Linked DNA regions of Bombyx mori. The protein of the gene in region 2 interacts with the protein of the main gene of each other region in a pairwise test. Links are inferred from orthologs where the notes say so. Each region holds a gene or a part of one and is shown on either strand. Other genes may lie near its edges.

The links.
Region 1: the proteins of dynamin (region 2) and E3 ubiquitin-protein ligase Su(dx) interact in binary tests that used the Caenorhabditis elegans proteins (3 or more experiments, as listed by UniProt). The link is inferred for Bombyx mori from reciprocal best matches to the Caenorhabditis elegans genes dyn-1 and wwp-1.
Region 3: the proteins of dynamin (region 2) and sorting nexin lst-4 interact in a two-hybrid assay, tested with the Caenorhabditis elegans proteins (2 studies listed by BioGRID). The link is inferred for Bombyx mori from reciprocal best matches to the Caenorhabditis elegans genes dyn-1 and lst-4.

Annotation. Positions count from the first base shown.
Region 1 is NC_085110.1:8,433,415-8,437,175, reverse strand, and holds the start of E3 ubiquitin-protein ligase Su(dx), read left to right. Parts: upstream 1-1,149; 5' UTR 1,150-1,259; exon of another isoform or gene 1,260-1,459; 5' UTR 1,460-1,524; exon of another isoform or gene 1,525-1,572; intron 1,573-1,594; exon of another isoform or gene 1,595-1,793; intron 1,794-2,180; 5' UTR 2,181-2,264; coding exon 2,265-2,334; intron 2,335-2,447; coding exon 2,448-2,735; intron 2,736-2,967; coding exon 2,968-3,206; intron 3,207-3,562; coding exon 3,563-3,761. UniProt on the Caenorhabditis elegans protein: E3 ubiquitin-protein ligase which accepts ubiquitin from an E2 ubiquitin-conjugating enzyme in the form of a thioester and then directly transfers the ubiquitin to targeted substrates. Ubiquitinates klf-1.
Region 2 is NC_085121.1:5,669,304-5,672,964, reverse strand, and holds part of dynamin, read right to left. Parts: intron 2,647-3,661; coding exon 2,443-2,646; intron 1,374-2,442; coding exon 1,181-1,373; intron 758-1,180; coding exon 548-757; intron 1-547.
Region 3 is NC_085119.1:13,643,400-13,647,160, reverse strand, and holds the start of sorting nexin lst-4, read right to left. Parts: upstream 2,140-3,761; 5' UTR 1,916-2,139; exon of another isoform or gene 1,688-1,915; intron 1,237-1,687; 5' UTR 1,223-1,236; coding exon 1-1,222. UniProt on the Caenorhabditis elegans protein: Involved in the signaling of vulval development by acting as a negative regulator of epidermal growth factor receptor (EGFR) signaling. Aids in phagosomal membrane tubule formation which is required for phagosomal fusion with endosomes and lysosomes.

The DNA.
Region 1 (3,761 bases), on a different chromosome or scaffold from region 2:
GAACCTTAGTTACGTTTTGTGATCTCGAGCTCATTTATAAAATAAAGTTTAATATGAAATTACATTATATACTGTAAAACCCACTATTAATAGTACACATTAACGGTATAGTATAAAATTATGAGCAAGCTTTCTCTTGAGCGTTGTTCATTGACAGTTCTGAGAAACAAACACACAAATGGTTCCATACTCAATAGTATATAATACGCACTAGTATTTATCTATTCCACTGATACCACACTAACACTAATTTTACTCTCGCTTTAGATTTAGGATTGCTTTTGCACTACGCATTGTATTGCTTGTCTCGCTTCTCGTCCTTCCATTGCAAGACAAAATAGTTAAAAATTAACAAAAAAGTACGCTGGACATCAGCTGAACATCAACTCGCAATTTGAGACGTGAGATCGAAGTCTCAACTTTTGGCATCATCCGTAACTTGAGCTGATCGTAACAGAATCAAGTTATGTGATGAGCTATCTTGGGCTCTGGTAGAGCCCCTGGTCTACCCCACGTGTGATCGTTGTCTTCCATTCTGGTCTCCGACTTTTATAAGACGATTATATAACGGTGTTTGTGCGAGCTTCCCAGGACTGAACTTAGCAGGGTCACCTGTTACGTCGTTAATAGTCAGCGGGCGTCCTCTTTGGGTCCTAGCCTAACTTATCACGTTCAATGAGCTTACCAAAACTTCCACCATAGGTTTTTTTTTATTGCGATTTATGCTAGTTGCAGTAAACGAACTCATGTCCCAACTGCTGTTAAATCGTTACCGGAGCCATGTATCAACAACGTAAGCGCATGTACCAACGTGTCCCACCTTGAGATATGAGTTTTAACTCTCCGTTTTTACAGTACAGCAGCTGTCAACCCTTCAAACCAAAACGTAATTAACTGCTTCACGGCAGAAATAGGCATCTAGTGGTACCTACCCATGCAGGTTCATAGGACACCTTACCACCAGTAAAAGGTGGTAAGGCATAGGTAGGTGCTCGACTTACGGTCAAGATGCTCCGTCACATAAGTGATTAGTCAGTTTCACTATTTATTTATCTTTTTAGTATAAGTAGATAAATTTGATATATAGAAAACTAGTGGAAATTGTATAAAATCGATTTAATAGTCTTCAGTAACCTCTAATTTATAGGTATTATGTACAGACATACTCTGCGATAGGACGTGGTAGATTAGAAATTACTAGGTATATTGGTTGAGATAAATTAATGGACATCATTAATATAATCGATCGACCGTGACAGGTGCGTGACATACTGTGACTAATTTCAGGGAATGTGAAAAATTATTTACTCAGGATATCATTTAATAAATTTAAAAAAATACTAAAATTTTCTGTATACATTCAGATTTTCGTGTACGTGTATTTATGTGCCTTCTGCGCTAGATTTCAATAAGTAATGTGATAAAGAGAATGTGGCGTTATTTACGTTTCCTTTCACAGTGATAAGAATACGATAATAAGATAATTCGAAGGATTCTTAGCTTCGGACGAACTCGCTTCATATGGTAATAATTCATTGTTGTGTAACATTAATACTATAATTGTTTCAGGAGGTATGTTTGTATTGTGCACTTCGTGTTTGTTTATCGTTACAAGACGTATAAACAATAAGTGTCTTCTCGTTTAAGCTGGTTATTTAAGTCATTGACAGATAATAATCAATTGTCCAGTAAAACACTTAATCAACTTATTGGCAAATGCTTTCAGATCGGGATCGGTAATTTAGCAGCGTTAATTGGAAGCAAAAAAAAATTACTATTTTTCTTTTGGTTTGGTAATAGCAACATTAATGACAGTGTTCTGCTACAGTATTTTTCACACACAAAAAAACAGCATAGAAGCCCATTTAATTTCAAACTTATTACCATTAAAATCGTAATAAAATTTTAAACTTTATTCTATTTTGATCATCAACCTAAATAATAAGGACAAACCAATTAATAATTCCATACAATACTTCATACATATGGTTAAATTTTCAATACAATGTACAAAATCATTATCAATGTTACCTTTAAACTATAATTACTGCCTTATGGGACAAGTATTCCTAACACCTATAGCCCGTTAATTTAAATTTTATAAAACATTAACTTCAATTATTCATGATACTGAATAAAATGTGAAAAGTAGAACTCCATATTTTATTTTTCTTTCCCAGAAATGTCCAGTATTAAGATGAAACCACAGCCTAAATAAAACAATATTATGCTTCATTCAAAAGGTTTAACTAAGAGCATACACTATGAATGAAAATATATCTTCACTCACTGCTCCAATTTCTGTGTCCACATATCATCAACTGAGCTTAACAGGTAAGTTCAAATACATTTTGATCTAAACTGATTGAAAATTAATCTTGAAATATTTTTGCAAATGATATTAAATGAAATTATCAAATCTTCTAACACACATTGTATATTTTTAGTGGAATCAGCAAATATAAAAAATTCAGGCTTGTTCAAACCAAATCCATACCTGCAAGTTATAATTGATGATAAAATATTGAGAAAGACTGAAGTTATAAGGAACACCTTGCATCCAAAATGGAAAGAAGATCTTACTATTTTGGTGACGCCACAATCGCAATTACTGTTCCGTCTTGCAGATTATCATAGCTTTAGGAAAGACAATGTGATTGGTGAAAAAAAAGTGAACCTATTAAAAGTTTTGTTTTACTGTAATGGGAAATGTGAGAATTTAGAACTTACATTAGGTGAGTTAAACTGAACCAGTTTCTGTTGAAATTAAGAATAATTGAAGATTATTTAATATAGCCTTATAAAACTCTCTTCACTGAGAATTCATTTTAAAATAAGTACAATTTTTCAATATAATAAGAATGTAAAAGAAAGACATTACAATATTCAAAATTTGTGAAATTGTGCTTCATATAAATTCAGTAAACAAGTAAAACAAAACTTGTTGTAATGTTTGCACTTTTTTAGATTTAATGAAAACATCTTCTCAAGAGAATACTAGTGGAAATGCTGAGGTAAAAACAGCAGAACTGGTGTTGCTTCTAGATGGCTTAAGAATTGACCCTGGAGTGTTGACACAAACACGTGAATTACTTGGTGAAACGGCAAATACTGCAGCTCCCCTTAATGAAGGGGTGCGAGCCAGAATCAGAATGCGCAACAATCCTGAGACTGTTAGATCCATGATGCGATCACTAACACTTGGAGTAAGTTGATGTTTCTATTATTTGTATCATACAAAAAATTTAAAATAGAAACAATCCATCTACTACAACAAGGCTGCCTGGTTGAGTAATAACATTTATTCATGAATTATTATTAATTTCCATTAAATTGTTCATGACTAATTTAAGCTTTCCCATTCTATTTTAAAAAGGTTTATCTTTTGATCTATTTATATTTTAGTTTTAAATTACATTTTAAAGTTTTGAGATTGTAAAGAACTTTCATTAAAGAGTAAAGATATATTTTGCACATTCCATCAAAGTATAGTGTTTATATGGTCAATACAACTAAGAAGAAAAAGTTAGTTCTGTATAAATTATTTTTTTCATTTTTAAAGCCACCTCCAGGACCTCCACCAATGAGCAATGGGTCTATACATTTACCGAGTACTGCAACACAGTCATCATCAGAAACTGCAGGCCCCTCACAGCAGTCACGCCTGCCTGGTACACAGGATCCAACATCAACACAGCCAACATCTGCTAATACTGCTTACCCTAATGCTGCTGAGGAGCCTTTGCCTCCTGGGTGGGAAA
Region 2 (3,661 bases):
ACAGAAAACAGCTGCGGACGGACCAGCGTTCCGTCGAGGTCAATGACCGCGCGTGTCAGCTGATTTCTTTATTTTGTTACATTGCATGCAAAACACACAATCCAACGGCAACTACCGGATGTGTTCGTCTTTAGCGTTATTGTTGATGTACCAACTAATTATGATTTAAAAGTAATTATTTTCAAGAAGGGTTAATATAAGCATTTATATTCTACCAGGTATGAACAGATTGAAAACTACCCTATCCTGCCCATAAATGACCTATTTTAACAAATAATATCGATTCGTTGATGCATTAAACAAATGCTAATCAACAAATAGATTTTAAATATTCAATCATTTTTCTGATTTCAATATTCAATGAGTTTCACTGTTACTAGCGCTATGCTTAACTCTGTTGACAATTATTGTTTGCACATTTAGGTCATGTAAAGATACGTCCTTATATGTCTTATAAAATGCAAGGTGCATTTAGTAAAATACAAATATTGTATTTCGAAAACAATTTCATTAAAATGCAGTATTACTATGTACTTTAAGAACTTACTGCAACATGGCCTTAGTTTTAATAGACGGGTCATCGGGTCGGAAATGCTTGTACTGGTCGACGTCCTTCTCCAAGGTCAGTAGTTGTTTCTGCAACTTGTCACGGAGACTGGGCAGAGTGTCGCGGATATGGTTGGTGAGCTGTTGGTTCAACACTCGCTGTAGGTAAGGGGTACCGAGACGATCGGCCAAATGACGGTATGACGGGTGGCTGTTAATAACAAACAAAACAAAAAAAAAACTCATTATTATTATACGACTTATTACAAAATGTTCACGATTGACCTCCACGGTGAAGGAATAATAACATGGTGTAATAAAAATCAAACCCGCAAATTTGCGTAATTAATGGTGGTAGGACTTCTTGTGAGTCCGCAAGGGTACCAACCACCACGCTGCCTATTTCTGCTATGAATCAGTAATACGTTTCGATTTGAAGGGTGGGGCAGCCGTTGTAACTATACTGAGACCTTAGAACACATATCTCAAGGTAGGTGGCGCATTTACGTTGTAGATATCTATGGGCTCCGGTAACCACTTAACATAGGTGGGTTGGGAGCTCGTCCACACATCAAAGCAATAAAAAAAAGAATTATCACTCGTCAACAAAGTTTTGGTATTGCAAATGAATCACCTAAGGAAGAATTTTCTCTCAGCCGCAAGTGCAGCGGCTATGTCCTTGCGACCGTCAATGTCTTTCTGCGATCGGTTGACGACTCCGATGTAGCCTCGGCGCAGCGGCAGCAGCTTGTTCTCGAGCACGTCCCGCGCATCGGTACCCTCGTCCATCAAATCTAATTTTGTTATTACGCCGATAGTACGCAATCCTGGAAACCGATGTTTTTTTTTTTAGTTTTCCAACTCATAAACCAACAGATGTAACGACACGTTAATTAAATTATGTGATTCGAATATTTATTTATCATTTCATATCATAGTATATCATTTTATTCAATTCCAGTTTCACAAAAAGAAACGATGCCGTATAGAGATCGTTACCATCAGAACTTTAACGATTCTGTTTAGTATATATAATCTTTGGCAGTCCGCCGCTTCTCCACCCCTCACGCCTCTTCTTCATCCCGCTAAGCCGCTCCAGACGTGTATTTTAAATAAATCAATTTAAATTGTTTACAAATACTTATGCATGAAAAGTAGCATCTTTGTCTTTATTTGTGTTTCGGCTTGTGGAACACGAAGGCATAATTAAATGTTTAAACAAGAAAAAATACACATATTTTTTTTAAGTGCGCTTTTTTTTCCCTACCTAAGCTGATAGCTTTGAGAGGCTATTTCAGCGTAACCTTAACTAGTAGGTGAGCTCACGGGGTTCAAACCTGACGACGTGAGACCAAAAGAGCCGTGCTTCACCAGAATCTACTACCGGATCGGAAACGCGTTACGCGACCCACTGAGAAGATCCGGCGAGAAACTCAGTGGGCTGTGTCTGTGGGTTAATTTACTCTTGGAGCCCTTCGTCGCAAGCGACGGATTCGACGAGAACGATGACCGGTAATATTTAGGAAACACAATAGTTGTAATAAAATGATTTACTAAAAAAATACGAAACAATAATGAACTAGCAAATATCGATAATTTAATTTAATTTATAATTAATTTAAAAAAATAGCGAATATTTCAACTGTTAATGTTAAACACAAGTAATATTTAAAATTAAAACATTGATAAATCAATATTGTTCAGGTATTCTTTTATACCATTTTATTTGTAGCAAACATTGTGCTTTCGTTCAATTTAACGTTCACGATAAAAGTCGTTACTAACAAATTAATAATTAAATGAAATCACACGGCGTTCCTTATATTCGGCGATGGGATAATAAATTTTATAAATGTATACATGTTAATAATAAACTTTGAATTTTATTCAACAAACCTTGTGGGTCTACTTCTTTGGCAAGCTTCAGAGCATCGCTGTTGGCCAAATCCGTGTTGGCCGGAGTAACTGCCAGGATAAGGCATGATTCGCGTCTGATGAACTGGAATATCATCCCTTTGATTTGCTGCTCGATATCTATAGGCTGATCACCGATTGGCACTTTTGTCAGACCCGGCAAATCAATCAGCGTCAGGTTGAGCACTGCGAACAATAAAAATGCGTTTATTTTGTCATTAAAATATAATTATGACAAGAATCGTAATCGTAATAGACCCAAATTATAATTTTTGCGAGTTTTATTTATTTTATTTATTTAATATTTCTTCATCATAGAAGTAATTCGTGACATTTAGATAACTACGTTTTTCATTAGAAAAATTGATACCGGCTGCGGGATTCGAACACTGTCACTCGTCGCATCACTCGACACGAATGCACCGGGCGTCTTATCCGTTAGGCCACGACGACTAAAAAGTTTTAAGTTACTATACTTATTTTGAATACTACAAGTATTACTCCAAATGGCGACGAATAACGCCTTGGTCATCCGTATTCATGAAAACCGTAAAGTATTCAAAACATAAAAAACACGAGATTAAACCGTAAAAACAGTTTTAATAATGAGAAAATACTGTTACTGTGAAAGTTGAATGCCGTAAAACTACTAGAGGCGGCACCGTTAGCGTACCATGATCCCTTATCAGTGACCAGTTAAAATACTATCAGCGTAAGATCTACCTGACCACATAACGAAAATAATTAAAACGGCAACACAAATCCGTAGTATAGTATTTTTCCTATTATAACTCTCTTTAGGCATTCAAGCAAGATACTTAGGATTGAAAGATTTAAGGTTAAATAGGAATCATATTTCATCGGAAGTATGTATATTTAGTACATTTATATAGAAGAAGAATATAGATATAGAAGATAGAGAATTATAATAGAAGATAGAAGATAGAGAAGAAGATATAGAAGTATATTTTGTACTAAATGCGACTACAAAACTCAAATGTAATCAACATTAATTATGATACATTGTTTCCATATTTTTATAGAACGGTATTCTCGATTTCCACGTAACGTGAAAACAAATAAACAAGAATCTACGATGCTCGAACGCATTTCACAAAAGACTACATAGCTAATGATAAGACCGTCAGATAAGATATATAACTATGACACACTAAGATTCGTGAGTCATATACCGACACGA
Region 3 (3,761 bases), on a different chromosome or scaffold from region 2:
CAAGACTATAAAATGCTTCTCCTATTTTCTGGCAGTCACTCTTGTATGGTCCTTGGAAACGTTTTGTTTGCACAATGCACATGCTAGACACAGACTTGATGGCTGTGTCGACACTGTTAATGAAAGTGTGGCACTGTTCTGTGATATGATCAACTTGTGATTGCAATAATGCTTTCTCAGGTACCACTAGTGAAACACAATAATTTAGACCTAGCAAATTATCTTTTTCAGCTTGCCTTTTACCAGCTTTCCATCTCTTTTCATCAGTACATGTTAAGAAGTGTTGCCAAACCTCGCTTCTGGAGAGCACAGGGTGCTTGCACATCCAATCTACAAACTCTTGGAGCTGAACTCGCCTGCGTTCGATTAGTTGCTCATCATATCTTCCAGATATCTGTTTGTCAGGCAGAGGGGGGATTGGAATAAGTGTGAACTTTTCTTGTAGTCTCTCATGGAGCCAGTCAAAGTGTTTGTATCTCCTGGACACTTGAATATTATTGAATGAAGGAGTCAGTTGATAGGCTATAAAACTCTTGATCCCTTTGAATTTAGATTCCTTTTTTGGAGAGGCCACAGTCACAATATATGGCTGAGTAATTGGGGACCAAATATATCCATCTTCATCTTGGATAATGTAGACCTTTTCAGAGTCTGGTACTTCTACATTAAGGGTTGCCAGCAGGTAGCTTTCTCCACTAATCTTTGAAGATGGTGCAAATTTGTTTTTTCTAACTGTGCCCACTGATGAGCTATAATTTGAAGATGTGTCATCTATGTGTTGATTATAATCATTAATAGGCATACCGGGAATCACAATGGATGATTGCTGGTTGTACTGCGATGTCTTGTTTTGTTGCTGGGCTGGTCCTATCTCTGAGTATGTATCATCTTCCCAGTCATCATCCCAGCCATCTTCATGCGAAACTCCTCTTTGGTAATTGTTATCTCCTGCACTGTAGTGTTGTTCGCCCCAGTCATCTGCTGCTTGATCATATCTAGGTGCTGGAGGAGCAGCTTTAGTTTGAATTGATTCTTCTGGTGTCAGTTTTCTGACATATGCAGCAGGAAATAGACCAGTTTCTCCATTAGATTTTTTTCCTTCCCACCAGCCTTCTCCGATTTCTGTGTTGAGCAGTGTGAGCACCTCTCCACAAGTTATGGACATCTCTGTGGTGCCAGGCTCACCAGTGAAGTCATACAAAGCCTGCACTTGGGTCGCCATTTTAAGACCCGTACCTACAACAATTGCAAAATAGATTATTGTATTAACCTGAACGATTTTATTAGGAAGGTTTGTTACATTGAGTACAAATTTTATCTTATCAGTGTTATCTAGAAATGTAGGGAGTATGCACATAAATGATAAATAAATTGCGATGTTCGTGTTATAACTATTATTATTTTATTTAGTTGTAAAATTTGAAGCCGAAATTGGTGGGCTGTAAGGCGCTGACACATATCGCTAGTTTCATAATAGCACCAATTAGCTGTAATTGATGAATTTGATCTCGTTTACAGTTTTAGGATTCTGCTCGAAATTGTGACATGTTCGTATTAAGCATTTGTATTGTATTCAAAAGTACGTCGAAAATGCATTGTTCGCTGTGTAAAACCCAGAAAAGTAGTATGTTTATTTAAAAATTCTTTGATGTGAATAATTTTTAATGTATATGAAAATTTTTATTACTAATTCATAAAGGTTTTCATATGTGAACGAAGTATTGGTGGATTTTGAAGGTGAAACGGTTTTAAATTCAACAATTTTGCGTTGGAAATCAAACCAATGACGTCAATTTTGAACTCGTGTATTGTGGAACTTCAGTGAACAATCGCAGTATTAGTCGGTTCTGCACTTCAATTTTGATTCGATATCACTTATGTAAACACATTTACACAAATAATGCGTTTTACTTACTGTTTTTCAGTATAAAACGTAATTTCAAAGCGGATACCCCGAATGTACAGTCATCTGTTTGACAGATTAACAAAACTTGTTTTCTATAGCTATTGTTCTCTTACAACATATAGTGTAAAATTTGTATGTTCTCGTTGATGTGGCAAGGAAATGTTCCTTTTACACGGTTAATAGTCATTGGTCAGAGTAAATTATCAGGTATCAACATCCAATAGGAGACGGGCAACACAAAATAACCAATTAGAATCTCTTAGTCTAAGCGGAGTTAAAAAAAAATTATGTTTAGTGTTTATTAAAGTTATGTACTGGTGAAGAGAAAATTGCTGTGAAATAATTGACTCGACAGTAATTTTCATACAAATTTCTAATAATTAAAACTGTTACGATTTACAGTAGAATGAAATGTAGATGTCGCTACTGTTTCATGGAGGTTATATGAATAGAGCTAAAAGCGAAAAAATGCGCCAATACGATCATGGAAATCAACCCGAGTAGCCTTACAATGCTATGTGATAGCCACATGGGCACTGACGTTGGATAACAAACTAAGTAAAGGTATGTTATGGTGGCCTTACGGGCTCACCACAGTGGCGACATCTGCTACGAGATTTCAGTTGTAATTCCATTCAATAAAGGTACGACGCCGCGACGACTACGCAATTAAGTTAACAAAGTGCGATGAATGAAAACTTGATGTTGTAAACTGTGCGTGGGTTTTTTTATGGATCGAAACTTAGTCCAATAAATAGACAAGTGGGTTGATTAAACTTTCCTACGTCCTGGGGTTCGGGGATTAAATTATGAACAAGGCTTTAACCAAAAAAATGCTTATTGATCGAATGCGGACAATCAAATAAATATCTAATACATATTAGCATTCATTCTCTCATTTTTTCGCTTTGCACTCGTCTGTTCGACTTTGGCATTGTCGCGCTTTTCTTGTTTGCATACTACACCCCATCCTATGTTCCGGTATGCAATGGAGCTCGAACGTTCGTGAAATACGATTTCTATTATGGCCGTATGTTGTTGGTCTGCTCTCTACTAGATGGCGTTACTTGTTTTGGTCGTTGTGTGTTGCGTTATTTGCGAGATGGCTTTCATTATCTAGGTAGGTACGTACGGTTTGTAATCGTTTAAGTTGATCTGTTTACATTTGCATTTATATTTGTTTTGTTATTGGTATTTCTGCGTGTAAAATGTTGCCAAAATTTTCTTTAATAATAATACCTATGTCTATACTTAGTCTGGCCATAAATACTGTTACAAAGGAAAACAAAAAAAAATGTGTGCGTGTACTAGTGTACACACGTAAGAAGTGAAACTTATTTATGGCCTTATTTTTCGAAAAATGATCTACATGCAACTTTCTAGAAATTGGTTAAATAAAGTTAAATTAGATAAAGTTTAAACAAAAGGATTTTATTATCATAGACATGAATACAAAAAAGTTAAATTAGATAAAGTTTAAACAAAAGGATTTTATTATCATAGACATGAATACAAAACAGATGGCGCGTAACGGAAAAATGTGACGCGTAACCGAAAAATGTGACGGTAAATTTTTTTCCAACGCCGATAAGGAAGTTTCACTTCAAAAATTCTATGGCAAATAACATTTATTACTTTTACAGTGTGTTAGTTTAATACATAAATATAAAACAATTTAAAGTATAAAAGCTTATTCGAAGTGGTCTCCATTGGCTGCAATTCTGTCCTTTAAACGTTGAGGCCAGTTATCAATAGAAGCACGCAATTTTTCCATGGGGAAAATGTTCACTGACAATCGTACGGATTGTTTTAGGGACTCAAAATTATCATGGCGTTTAGAGCAAGCCGTACTCTC